Linked DNA regions of Canis lupus familiaris. The protein of the gene in region 1 purifies or fractionates together with the protein of each later gene. This does not show direct contact. Links are inferred from orthologs where the notes say so. Each region holds a gene or a part of one and is shown in the gene's direction. Other genes may lie near its edges.

Region 1 (4,654 bases):
ACTTTCATTTTCCTCATTACAAATAAAGTTGAGCACCCTTAAACAAGCTTGTTGATCATTGAGATTTTCTTTTGGAGAGCCTCCTAAAAAAGTATCTGACCCACTTTTCTTATTGGTGGTCAATCATTTTCTTAGCATTTGTATCCGTCTTTCATATATTTTGCATATTAGCCCTCATTTGGCATCTGGTAAATATCTTTTTCCAGTCTGTGTCTTGCCTTCCATTCTCTAACGCTGTCTTTGCAATAGACCTAAGTTCTTCAGTTATCAGTCTAATGTAGTCAAATAGGTAATTATTTTCTTCCACGTTAATGACATTGCTGTTCAATTTAAAAATCAGTCCTGTCGTTGACAATTTATATCATCTCTTAGAATGTTATTTTATCTTTTACAATTAAATATACAATCAACTTGCACATGATTTGATTTGGGGTACGGTTTAGCGTAGAGGTTAAGTTTCTTTCTTTTCCTCCATGCGAATATCAAATCGACCAAGCACTATTTGTTATCAAGAACTCCTTTTCCCACTGCTTAAGAGTATCATCCTTGCCTTAAATCAACTGTCCACGTATGCAGAGGTCTGTTTCTGAGCCATCTAGTTTCTTTCGTGATTGCCTATCCTTTTAACCGGTCGCCCCAGTGTCTTAATCAGCATGACTTTATAGATCTTGATGTGTGGTACATATCCAACTTTACTATTCCTCAAGAGATCTTCAAACGTTTCTTGGATATTTTTGGTGCTTTGCATGTCCATATACATTTTAAAATAAACCTGCAGGTGGGCAGCCGGGTGGCTCAGTCAGTTAAGTGTCTGCTTTTATCTCAGGTCATGACCCCGGGGTCACAGTTTCGAGTCCTCCATCAGGCTCCCCGCATGGAGCTTGCTTCTCCCTCTGCCTGGGTCTCTGCCTCTCAGTGAGTGTCTTGCACTAATAAATAAATAAAATCTTTTTTCCCCCCCGCCCGGCCATTAATAAAATCTTAAAAAAAAAAAAAAAAAAGTGCTGTGTTTGTTCCGGGTATGTTCAAACACAACCAGCCTTTGAATATTTAGCTCCCATCTGCAAGTCCGTTACATTGATTTATAGATTTAATAGCTTCTATACTTTTTGGAGTTTTTTTTTTTCCTATGCATACATCATCTATGAAAAAAAAAATAGCTTAGTGTTTCCTTCCTAATCTAGATCTTTCTTTCTTTAAAATACTAAAAGCCACAATTCTGTACATCTGAGCAACGCGTGACTGCAGCCCTAGGTTCAGCACAAAGCTGCCTGCCAGGGGACCGACTCCTGTTCCACCTGCCGCACTCGCTGAGCCAAGAGCGGCCCCGCGCACGCGCCCTGACAACCACGTCCAGCCACCTGCAGCCCGGCCGAGGCCCCGCCCCTCGCCCCGCCCCCCGGCCTCGGAGGCGGGAGGCGGAAGCGCGCGCCGCCGGCACCCCCCGTCGCCCCGCCCCCTCGCCCGCACGCAGCCAATCAGCGGCCGCCCCTGTCGAGCGTCCCGTCGGCCAAAATGGCGGCGGCCGTTGGCGCCGAGTCCCGTGTGTAGCTCCGCCGCCTCGCTCCTCCCGTTGCAAAATGTGAACCGGAGAGGCGGCGGCTGGAGGGGGGCGGCAGGCAATGAGTCGGCGAAGGAAACATGGGGACAGCCTTGGCCTGAAGAACACGCCGCTCAAGGCGGCGGCGGCCGCGGCCGAGGAAGGCAGCTCGGTGGCCGAGCCGGGGAAGAGGCGGCTGAGGTCGGCAGAGCCGCGTCCCCGGCCCGCGCGGCAACGGGAGCAGCCTCCGGCGGCCGCTTCGTGCAGTAAAAGTAACCCCGAGGGTGAGACGTCGGCCCCGCGGCCTCCCCGCGCTCCCGGCGCCGCTCGCAGTGCGCAGACCCGGGGCGGGGGGCGGGGGGAGCCTCCGGAGGGAGCCGCCGCCGCGACCCCCAGGCTTGAGCCGCGCGGTGCGGCGCCGTGCACGGGGCCGGGCGGGGGCGGGGGGCGGCGCACCCCAGCGGGACCCGCGCGCGCGGAGCTCGGCGGTGAGGAACTCACCGGAAGTCCCCGCGTCTGACGTCACCGCGCGGACGCCTGGGGTGGTGTCACCCCGAGGACGCCGTGGTGACGTCACCCCGAGGACGCCCCGTGTCACGTCACCCCAGGACGCCCGTGGTGACGTCACCCCGAGGAACGCCGGGGCCCCTGCCGAGCCCTTTCGTCCCAGGCAATCTTTGGCGTTCCGTCTTTTTTCTTTTTCCTTTTTTTTTTTCTTTTTTTGTAAGATTCTACTTATTTATTCATTAGAGACACAGAGACAGGCAGAGACCCAGGCAGAGGGAGAAGCAGGCTCCACGCAGGGAGCCCGACGGGGGACTCGATCCCGGGACCCGGGGTCACGCCCTGGGTCGGAGGCAGGCGCCAACCCGATGAGCACCCCCCTGCCCGCCCGCCCTTGTTGTGTCTTTTGTAGGATCTTATGACACTGTGACCCCCGCCCCCCCAAAAGCGCTTCCTTTAAAGCGTGTTCTCAAAAACGCGACCTACGTTCCCATCTGTTCAATGGGCTCGCGCGCAAGGCAGTTCTGGAATGAACAAGACACCAGCGTTTGTGGGAATTTGAAAGTGGTGCTAAGAATTTCCCAGGAAATGGGAAATTAAATAATTTAAGCTGCTTTGCTTTTTTTTTTTTTTTTTTTTTTTGGAAGTAATTAGTGTAAGTCGGATAGAGGTGGTGATGAAAGGGGGCTAAACAGACTTCTAATGTAGTTTTCCGCCGGGAGCCTTTTGATGTTTGTAAGATGCCAGCCATAAATGACAGGCGGTTCCCAAAGCCGCCAGGTTCCGGTTGTAATGAACGGAACGCCTTGGCTTCTGGACGTTGGTAGGGCTACTTACTGGGTTATCCCAAGACACTTGCTGTTTACGATGTCAGATTTGTGAAGCATCACGAGGATTCTCAGGTGAAACCTTTCAGTCGTTAATATACTCCTGTCTGGGAGGAAATTATATAATTGGGCTATTAAAAAAAAATGGTCTAAAGGATATCTGACGTTGGGGTATTAGGAAGTAAAGTAACGCTTAACAACGCAACGATTGTTTTGTTTGTTTTGTTTTTTTAATCTTATTTTATGTAGAAAGATATGAAACCCCAAAGAGAGTGCCGAGAATGGATTTACTGTCCTCTACCTTCAGTTCCCCTAATGATCCAGACGGACAGAATGATATCTTTTGGGATCAGAATTCTCCAATGACGAAACAGTTAGGTAATTTATTACTAATTAACATTTTCCATCTGGGTAAATATTTGGCAAGGGGGTGAGGATTTGACTCTAGGATTTCAGCAGGGTAATAACAGGACTTTCATACAACAGATGTCTTGAGAATCTTGGGTGATGGTTATGATAGGCCTGTGGTATCAGTGCACAGCGGGTCCAAGCCCGTGCCAATTAAAATTGTTTTCTAAGAAGTGTCTGCTACTTTTAAAGACTAATCTTTTTGTTTCCCGCTTAGAGAAATGTCTTTGTTCTTTAGGTAAAGGAAGAAAAAAACAGATTTACACCGCAGATAGTGATGAGATCTCACATATCGTTAATCGTATTGCTCCTCAGGTAAATATCGCTAGTTTCCTACCTTGTTCTAAAACTGAAAACTATGCCACTAGGCCCACGTGTAGTTCGCTTGGATGAGAAATGCTTCGTCTTTTACGATTCTCTTTTCTGAAAACAGAGCAGCAAAGGTTCTACCCTTTGTACTACTGGAATGTACGTCTTGAAAAAAGGGACATGATGTATAATTGGCAATATATATTTTCCTAAGTATGTGTCTTTTGTTAATTTTTTTTTTAGAGTAGTGATTTTCGACTAGAAGTTTGTGCTAATTTTGTTCTTAATGTTGTTTGACAATATATGGCATCATTTTTACAGTTACTAGAATAATACAGTCAGACATTAAAATTTAAGCTTTTTAAAGTTATTTGTGATTGGTATTTGCTGTCTATAGCACACTCTTTCCCAATTGAAATTGTTCTTAATACTTGAGAAATGCTCATAAAAGTGGAAAGAACACTGGATCGAAGTTAGTTCTGTCTACTTCCTGTACTGGGTGACCATAAGCAAGTCACTTAAACTCTCAGAACTTTAGTTCATTCAGCCATAAACTAGAATTATTACTTGGCTTGCTCTCTCCATTGGACTATTATGAGGATTAAATTAGATAAAAATTCTTGATAAACATAGAGCACTATAAATGTGAGGTTATTTTAAAGTTCATTATGATAGCTAAATTATTTGCTGTCATAGAACATTCTCAAAAGTTCCTTTTTCTTTATTTCAGTTCCTCTACTGCTTGAATGAAATAGGAATATAAATGTAATGCAGCTTCTGTTCTGAACCTCTTTACTGTCCTCTCTTTTTTCTTATTTAACAATATTTAAATTCAGAAAACATCTTATTTTTGCTCATTGTCCTCTCTGTAGGAAATATGGGATTTTTTCCTTGACATACCCTTGGAGAGTGACTACATAATGTTCACCATAAACAATAGATGGCATTGTCCCAAACTGTGGTTATAAGGAATTACCATCATCCAGGTGGAGGAGACAGGAAATAAAGTCTTTCTTAGTGGCTATAAAATATCCAAAATTACAATTAGCACAGTCAAAACAACTCT
Region 2 (4,555 bases), on another chromosome or scaffold:
CTTCAGTGCTTACTGAGGTTTGTACAAGGGTCTCAGCGGGACTACTCGAAATGCTCCCTAATATCACCTGAACTGGACCACTAGTCTCTCCCTCCATATGCTTTTTGTTCATACTGCTGCCTCTAATTAGAAATATATTCCTCTTCTCCAATCTTTGTCTTTTCATATCCTCATCCTTCACCATCCCATCTCATTCTCATCCCATCCATCTCCAGGAGAATGTGGTGCCTCATTCTCCTGGAGCCCCTTCCTCATCCACCTCCTCTCCACACAGTATATTTAATCTCTTCCTCTTATATTTTTCCAATGCATGTTTATCTCTCTCATGGCATTCATCAGATTCTGCTTTGCTTTTCAATTTCTGAATTCCTATGATGTCCTTCTATATCCAGTTTGCACACTACTTGAGACTTCATCATCCTCATCTTTGTGTCACAGAAGTACCCCCCCAAAAAAATCTTGCATAAAAATAACTTTTTGAATAAAATTGGATTGCCAAAGCTCTATTGTTTCCAATGTTTCTAATGTATACTGCCTTTCAGAATTCCAGTGTTATTTTAGTTTTTGCCTTCCACATAACATTGTAGTTTTTATAATCTTTCTTCCTATCATCTAAAAATACCTAACATCTGTTGCTTTTTCGTTGGTCGACTTTTTCATATGTGCAATCTAATCTAAGCTTTAAAAAAGCTGGCACCTGGGTGGCACAGCTGTTTGGGCGTGGGACTCTTGGATTTGGCTCAGGTCGGGTCTCCAGGATCAGGCCCTGGGCTGAAGGCGGCGCTAAACTGCTGAGACACCCGGGCATCCCCGAAATCCCTTCTTAAATTTTTTTTTTTTTTAAGATTTTATTTACTTATTCATGAAAGACACAGTGAGAGAGAGAGAGGGGCAGAGACACAGGCAGAGGGAGAAGCAGGCTCCAAGCAGGGACCCTGATGCAGGACTCGATCCCGGGTCTCCAGGATCACGCCCTGGGCTGAAGGCGTCGCTAAACCGCTGCGCCACCCAGGGGATCCCCGAAACCCCTTCTTAAATATTAAAAGTCGGGAATAGCCTCAAGAAAGTCTGACTTCACGTGGGAAAAACACCCTGCCGAAACAGGAAGGACAGGGAGGAGCCCCGTATCCCGCTAAAAGGACGCGCGGCGAGGGGTGGGGGGGCCCGGGATCGAGTCACGCCTTCCACCCGCCGGAGGGTCTCAATTCTCCCTTTCGTGATGCGAGGGAGGCCGGTCTGTTTCTTTTCCAGAACCCGGGGGAGGTCTCGCCTCGCCGAGCCTCCTAGGACGGGGGCAGCCCGGGGTGCCCGCGAACACCCCAAACTCGCCGCGAACCACGCCCCCAGCGGGAGCCGCGCTGGGAACGTGCCCCCTGCGCGCTCCGCCTCCTTGGCCCCGCCCCCTTGCCGGCCCCCCGGCCTCCCCCGGGTCCTACGCGGAAGAAGAATTCCGGTCCGCAGAGCGTGACTGAACGCGGCTTCCGGGAGGAGTTTTGGGCCTGGCGAGACACCGTCGGGCGCCGCGCCTGCCCCTCCCCTCCCCCCAGCCCCGAGGTAGCTGTGGAGACGCCGGGAGGCAGCGGCCGCGCGGTTGACGAGGGCCGCGCATCCTCAGCATGGGCGACCACGGCCTGGAGCTGGCGTCTATGATCCCCGCTCTGCGGGAGTTGGGCAGGTAGGGCCAGGCCCGGCCGCTCCGGGTGCCGCGTCTCCTCCGCCCGGCCCGGCCCGGCCGGCCTCTCACGTGCGCTCCCTCCCCAGCCGCGCGCGTGCCGGCTCCGAAACCTTCAACCCCGGCCCCGGGCGGTGTGTCTCGCCAATGGCTTGAGCACGTCTCCCCCCGAGACGGGGTTAAAAATACGCGGGCGTCGCCGCAGACGTTGGGGAAGCAGGTCTAGGGCCCGAGAGGGGCTGTTCGCCGAGCCCACTGTACCTCAGCGGCGCCCGGGAGCCTTGCCCCCCCGCCCCTTCTGACCGCTCGCTTCCTGCAGACCTCTTTCCTTAGGTGAGGGACTCGACCCAGGAACTTGCCCCATTTTCTACTCCTTGTGATCGCTCGTGGAGGAATTGGGTTCTTAGCTTTACGTGTTGACCCAAACTGCCCCTCTTTGACAAGAAAAGAATCACTGGTTCGTGTGGTGTGGAAGGAAGGCCAATTGCTAGAAAAGGCAGTTTGGTCTTCTTCAAAATGAAAGCATAGGCCGTCCTGAAGATGGGCCCCGTTTCCTGTTGGTCATCCAGCGCCCAGTCCGTTTATTTTAGTCAGAAATCCCAGGGATCTGCCACGACGTCCCCAAAATGTAAATGTGCACAAGATGTTGCCAGAGTTTAAAAATAATTCAATACTGTTTCATTTGCAAAAGCCCGCCTTCTGTAAACGGAACAGTAAAATCACGTAAACCACCGTCCCACCTGAAGAGAGGGGAAGGCTGTTGCTGGCTGGCTGCCATCCCCCCTTCAGCACACTGGCAACTTTCCCTCAACCAGGCCTAAAGGAGGGAGGGTTTTTATTTTGCTTGCCTTTTTTTTTTTTTTTTTTTTTGAGTTTTAACCCATTGCGAAGAAGAAATAAGTGGGTTTGTACCACTAGTGCAGTTGACCTATCAGTTGGAGTAATTGCTTTTTGAAAACTTAGCACACAAAGTCAGAGCTAACAGAAAATCTGTGGGGTATTTAATTCCTTTCTTTTTGGGGTGCAGATGTATTCATCTCCACTTGTTGGCCATACAAGAATATTTAGTCTTCTTCGATCACATAAATAAGAGGGTAAATGAAGAAACCACTCTTGTTTTTACCGAATCATCCTGTTTTTGTGTTTTTTTTTTTTTTTTTCCCCGCTTTGCATGAATGTTGCAAGCCTACTTTGTGTTAACATTTTATAAACTAACATGAATACAAGCGCTCGTTTTAGGACATTGAAGTACAGATTTCATTTTTGAGGCTCAATGTGAAGCTCAATATTTTTTTTTTCCTATTTTGTTTTCATGTAGAATTAACTAATGCCTTTCTACCCTCTTTTTTTTTTTTTCCATAATGAGAGTTGTTAATAAAAATAATAGTATCTTGGATTTATTTATAGTCTCTTACATCACCGGAGCTTACGTTACTTTTCTTTAACAGTCGTGAGTTTCTCATTTTAATTGCTTCATTCCTGCCTATTCAGTCTCACAGTATCTCCATGATGTAGAATAGAGTACATATTATCACTATTCAGTAAGAAACTGAGTCACAGGAATTGAAGAACCAAAGTCAGAGGTAGCCATTATCAGAGTTGGGTTCCAGATTCATGCAATCAAAGCCTTTTCTCCACCCCCATCTTTTTTTCTCATTAATTGACTGGCAATTCAATTTCTGAAAAAAGTGAGATGTTAACTGTTCTAATGTGTGGGCGGCTCTGTCTCAGAGATGAATTTTGCTTCTGTTTTTTGCTATGAGCACTCTTTTCTCTGCCTAGTCTTTCAGGGTGATCCCATCCACTGTCTTTAACTACTATCTGCCATTTAATGACTGCAAATATGTTTCTCCAAACCATATCCATTTCCTATAGAATATTTTTTTTTTGAAGATTTTATTTGTTCATGAGAGACACAAAGAGAGAAAGAGGCAGAGACACAGGCAGAGGGAGAAGCAGGCTCCATGCAGGGAGCCAGATGAGGGACTTGTTCCCAGGACTCCAGGATCATGCCCTGGGCCGAAGGCAGGTGCTAAACCGCTGAACCACCCAGGTGTCCTCCTATAGGATATTTATACAACTGTATACTGGCAGTTTTAGCTGGGTGTCCTATATGCCATTAAGACAACATAGCTGGGCACCTGGGTGGCTTAGTTGGTAAGTGTAAGACTCAACATAGTCAATACAATTTCTTCACGTATCCTAACCTCCCTTTTTTTTTTTTCCCTCTCATTCACTGAGGTAGGGACATCTCAGTAAGTGATACCATGGTCACTCTGTTTTCCAAACCAGAAATGTAGGAATCATTCTTGATTCCCCATGTGACTTTGCTACATCCTTTGTCCTCTTTTCATCTTTACTCTCTTCCTAAGTAACTTCATGTAGTCCCATGGCTTTAAATATCACTTATATTCTGATAACTCCCAAATATTTATCTACCCAGAGATATTAGGTTGCTTACTGTTGAACATCTGTACCTGAAATGAAAATTTACATCATTACATCTTGATTTATGTTCTTAAACTTGGTTCCTGCCCCAGGTTATTGTAAATGTGCCAACCAAAAACCCAGGAATTTTTATTTATTTTATTTTATTTATTTATTCACGACACAGAGACAGACAGACACAGGCAGAGGCTGAAGCAGACTCCGTGCAGGGAGCCTGATGGGGGACTCTGATCCCGGACTCTGATCCCCTGTCTTCAGGATCACACCCGGGGCTGAAGGTGGCGCTAAACCGCTAGCCGGAATTCTTGATTCTTTCTCTTATACCCAAAAAATCTTATCAGCAAGTCCTGACAATCCTACCTTTAAAATACACTTGTCACTGCCGCTATTCTTGTCATTTCTTATCTAGACTATTACTGTAACCTCTCAGCTTAT
Region 3 (4,473 bases), on another chromosome or scaffold:
TTCAAACATTTTATCCTATATATCATAAATATGCTCTTATTTGTTACACTGTGTAAATTTCAGTCACCTTACCCTGAATATAACAACGTCCTCATGTTTGCCTCAGGTTTCTGTCCTTGGCTGTATCTCGATTTGGAGGTTTACAGAATTTCCATAGGTAAGGGGTGGCAGGCAGGCTATGTCTGGCCCACAGATACCTTTTCTCTGGCCCACATGGTGTTTTTAAATTTTTAAATTTACCCGCACTTAAAATTCAGAACTTTTTAGACAAAAATCAAAATTTCTGGCGTCTGCTAAAAATATAGATAGATGACACCACTGAGACCATATTCCTTGTCAGTTGCTATTCGTCCTTATTTTGTGTGGTTATTTTTGTCACTGTGGAGGAAAAAAAAGTAAAAAAATAAATAAATAAAATCCCCTCTATTATCCAACCTACTACATTTACAGTTTTCCTGCCTGACTCACATGTCAACTTGAGTTTGTGCCCCAATTCTAGAATGTTCAGGAAGGTACAGCGACTACACTGGTGGATGCAATCAGACCACTTAGCATCTCGTTGCCTCGGCTGCCTCCTTTGTTAAAACCGAGACCGTAGCGGCATCCACTTCACTGGATTGAGTTGCTAAATGTGAAGTATTTAAGACAGTGGCTGCAGTTTTAGAAAAATAAAATGGCCCAGAAACCCAGGGACCGTACCTATCTCATTCACTGTTGAATCCCACTGACCAGCACATAACTTGGAACAAAAGAGGCAGCAATACATACTTTTTACCAAAATAAGTGAGGCATGAGGGAGCCTAACAATCTAGCGAAGGAGCTGACCGACGTGCTCTCTCTACAGGAGGGACAGAACACTGCTACGTGAAGGATGGTTTAAACAATCGGGGAGGCAGAGGGGACAGGAGGTGGGCAGGGGCGTCCTGGGGGAGAGGTGTATGTTACTGCAGCCTCGCCGGGGAAAATCAGGACGAGGGAATGCCAACAAACGAAGACAACCTGGCTTTTTGTTTTGTTCTGTTTTGGTTTTTTGCTAATGAACTAGCAATCCCACCACGTGCCTCGCAGACAGCGTGGCGAGGTCACCGAGTGCGCAAGCGCCGCACGATGACGAGGCGGAGTCGCCGAAGCAAGAATTTTGCGGGGCGGGGTGCTGTGTTGATTAAGGCGTCATCTGATTGGTGACAGTTTGGCGGGAAAAGGAAGACGCCGAACAAAGGAAGTGACGTAAAGTGTCGTTCACGGGGGGGAGGGGGGATTATACGGCCGGAGATTCGTAATTGTCATTTTGATTGGTTGTTACTTTGAGAAACGGCCCTATCAGCCTCTCGCCGCTCCTTGCTTCCGCTTACGCAACTTGTTTTGCCCTTAGTAAAAATGGCCGTAGAGGTTTCCGGCCCCATCGGAAACAGAGTGCGCGTTTTCTTGAGACAGGAAAAAGCGTAGAGTTCGTGAGCATTGATTGGCTGAAGCCAGAAGCGTCCTGGACGCTGATTGGCTCCGTCGTTCGCGGGAAGGAGTTTGTGGCACCAGCGGGAAGTGCGCTTAGCACTGCGGCCGCAACAGGGTTCTGAGGAGTCCGGCGAGCCCACCTGACGGGAGTGTCGCGGACCTCTTTCCTGAGGGAATAGTGACCAAGATGTGGTTCGGTAAGCATGAGAGTCGCGAGGAGGATAGAGCGAGAGGGCGGGGGTCGGAGAGAGGCGCGCGGCGGTGGGAGTGGAGGAGGCACAGGGTGGCGAAGGGGCGGGGGGCCGGGGCACGGCGGTGGGACAGGTTAGCGCGGTGCTGGGGGTGCTTGGCGGTGGGGGGAGTCTGAGGGGGCCTGGTGTTGTCGAGAGGCTCGGGAAGCAGCGCGGGCACTAATACTGCCGTTTCAAACCAGGCGGATCTGAGAGCTACGGCAACTCCGCCTTTAGCGGAGCCGGCGGCTACACGCAGTCCCCGGGGGGCTTTGGATCGCCGACACCTTCGCAGGCTGAAAAGAAATCAGTAGGTTGAAAGAGTATTTCGTTTTCTTTCTTTCTGTCTTGAAGCTCCTAACACCCCTGGGAGAAACTTGATGCGGCGAAAGATTCCAAACCTGAACTGGTTGGATAATTAGCAATTCTTGCCTTACCGAATCTTAGAATTAAGTGCTGGAAGTTTTTGAAAAAATAAACTTTCTCCTACATTCACTTCCACTGTTGAATCGGCTTTATTTTGAAATTTACCAATGTAGCTAATGAATCAGTCTTGTGGAAAAACTGGACTTGTATTAGCCTACTTTGCATTCTTCATGTAATCGATTTTTTTTTTTTTTTTAAAGCAAAGCGGTAGAAGTATTAAGCAGAAACACGGAGAAAGCTCTCAGAAGTGAGAGGGGTCCCGACAGGGTTGCCCTAATTTTTTTTTTTTTTAATTAAACGTAATGAAGTGATAAAAAGCTGTGGAAAGAGCATGTTCTTGGATAGATCTATGTGCTACCATTGCTCCAACACTATTTACAGGGTTTTATTGGACAGATTTCTTAACATTGGGAATCAGATGGGATTGCTACTAAATGGGATTAATAATACATACCTTACAGGTTGTTGTGAGACTTAATATTCTAGTTTATGGTATATATAAAGTGCCTGCCCTGTAGTCACTTTGAATAAATGGTCCCAGATTTCTTTTTTCTTTTTTTTTTTTTAAGTTTTTATTTAAGGAATTTCTACACCCAACGTGGGACTCAAACTCAGTGATAGAGGCCATAGATTGAGTCACATTCTTTTCTGACTGAGCCAGCCAGGCACCCCTGATCCCACATATTTTAGTTAAAAAGAACACAAGTGTTGGACCCAGAATACATAGTGTCCAGAATCACCTTCTCACTGGCAGTATCTTTAGTGGCACAACTTGAACCTTGTGACCCTTGGTATTTCTCATCTGATACTGGTACTAGTACTACTTAAATCACAGGGTGGTTCTGAGAATTAATAAATAAGGTAATGTATGGGGAAACAATCTGTAAAAAGATGTCCAGATTCTTGTTATTTACCCTTTCAGAAATGAGTTTACATTTCACAACTACTGTTGATTTCATCCTTTAAATGCAAGGTTGATTTGGCTACTCTGTTAGGTGTCCTTCAGATGTGGTGTTAAGATTCAGTATTAGCAGGTTCTATGGTTTTTATACAGATTGAAAAGCTTTTACCTAAACCGTTAATTCAGGAGTGTATGTCGGTGGGAAAGAATTCATTGATAATTCCCATACATTTGGGCGTTGCTTTATATTTTTCATACAATTTCATATAATCATTCCATAAGGTATTGTTTACTTCCTTATACAACAGAGGCTCTGGGAGATGGAGGGACTGCCTAAGCTTCTATAGCTAGTAAGTAAGTGGGACTAGATAGTACACACGGGACACAAATCCAAAATCTGGTGAGCAGCTTCTCTATTGCAGTTTTCTTTTTCCCAGGAAGACCAGAGGGGACTCTCGTACTCTTTGTCTTCCCTAAGGTTGTGAAGGAGAAAGCAAAAATTAGACCATTGGTTTTCATCTTTCTAAGCTTGACTGTTTTCTTCATTCTAGTTGATAGAATTTTTCTCTCAGATCCCTAACTTGGATTGTGTATTAAGACAGCTTTTCAGAGAGTGATGATGGTTATAAGCTGGAAATTCAAACCAAGGGATCCCTGGGTGGCGCAGCAGTTTGGCGCCTGCCTTTGGCCCAGGGCGCGATCCTGGAGACCCAGGATCGAATCCCACATCGGGCTCCCGGTGCATGGAGCCTGCTTCTCCCTCTGCCTGTGTCTCTGCCTCTCTCTCTCTGTGACTATCATAAATAAATAAAAAAAATTTAAAAAAAAAAAAAAAAAAGGAAATTCAAACCAAGATCTTTATGTTTTTAAATCTAGTGCCTTTTCCACAGTAAATTAGATAAACACCCTATCTAATTTCCTATCTACTGTAAACCTGTTACATTTTATTGAACCATGTGAAATTTTCAGTACTGACCACTTTTTACCCATAAAAATGGTGTTTTCATACAGTGCTGTCAGAGTAACCTGTGATTCATAGCTAGAAAATAATTTTTAAGTTAAATATTCTTATCCTGGCACACTCTCTGTGAATCTCTTGGAACAAACCAGGGACTCCTTGCAATCATAATAGGTGCTTGTTAAAAAACAAGTGTCTGTGATTTGAGATAAATTTGAAGGTATAGGTAACACCTCAGGCATTACCCATACGTAATTTTTTTAACTGAGGAATGATAATGTTTGTTGAATACATAATACACGTAGAAATCAGCATTAGTATTTTTATATACATTGTATGTTTTGTTTAGAATTTGAAAGGTGGATGTCCACTGGACAGAATTGGTGGTGGCATGTCCAGGGCTATGGAGCTGGGATTGAACACAGGTCCATAGGACTGTGTGGCACCAAAGCCCATGTTCTTGTTCCTGTTCCCAGTAGTGGTTCTTAGTTTTCTTATGCTGAAAA

Evidence for each region. The genes of interacting proteins can lie anywhere in the genome.
Region 2: the proteins of ETAA1 (region 1) and ATR purify together in Homo sapiens (affinity purification with western blotting; 3 studies listed by BioGRID, with this or other methods). This does not show direct contact. The link is inferred for Canis lupus familiaris from reciprocal best matches to the Homo sapiens genes ETAA1 and ATR.
Region 3: the proteins of ETAA1 (region 1) and RPA2 purify together in Homo sapiens (affinity purification with western blotting; 4 studies listed by BioGRID, with this or other methods). This does not show direct contact. The link is inferred for Canis lupus familiaris from reciprocal best matches to the Homo sapiens genes ETAA1 and RPA2.

What each region holds. Positions count from the first base shown.
Region 1 is NC_049231.1:67,924,924-67,929,577, forward strand, and holds the start of ETAA1 (ewing's tumor-associated antigen 1), read left to right. Parts: upstream 1-1,487; 5' UTR 1,488-1,622; coding exon 1,623-1,824; intron 1,825-2,041; exon of another isoform or gene 2,042-2,131; intron 2,132-3,120; coding exon 3,121-3,249; intron 3,250-3,517; coding exon 3,518-3,594; intron 3,595-4,654. UniProt on the Homo sapiens protein: Replication stress response protein that accumulates at DNA damage sites and promotes replication fork progression and integrity.
Region 2 is NC_049244.1:38,756,009-38,760,563, reverse strand, and holds the start of ATR (serine/threonine-protein kinase ATR), read left to right. Parts: upstream 1-1,539; 5' UTR 1,540-1,616; coding exon 1,617-1,675; intron 1,676-4,555. UniProt on the Homo sapiens protein: Serine/threonine protein kinase which activates checkpoint signaling upon genotoxic stresses such as ionizing radiation (IR), ultraviolet light (UV), or DNA replication stalling, thereby acting as a DNA damage sensor.
Region 3 is NC_049223.1:71,856,230-71,860,702, forward strand, and holds the start of RPA2 (replication protein A 32 kDa subunit), read left to right. Parts: upstream 1-1,457; 5' UTR 1,458-1,639; coding exon 1,640-1,649; intron 1,650-1,885; coding exon 1,886-1,992; intron 1,993-3,235; exon of another isoform or gene 3,236-3,342; coding exon of another isoform or gene 3,343-3,482; intron 3,483-4,473. UniProt on the Homo sapiens protein: As part of the heterotrimeric replication protein A complex (RPA/RP-A), binds and stabilizes single-stranded DNA intermediates that form during DNA replication or upon DNA stress.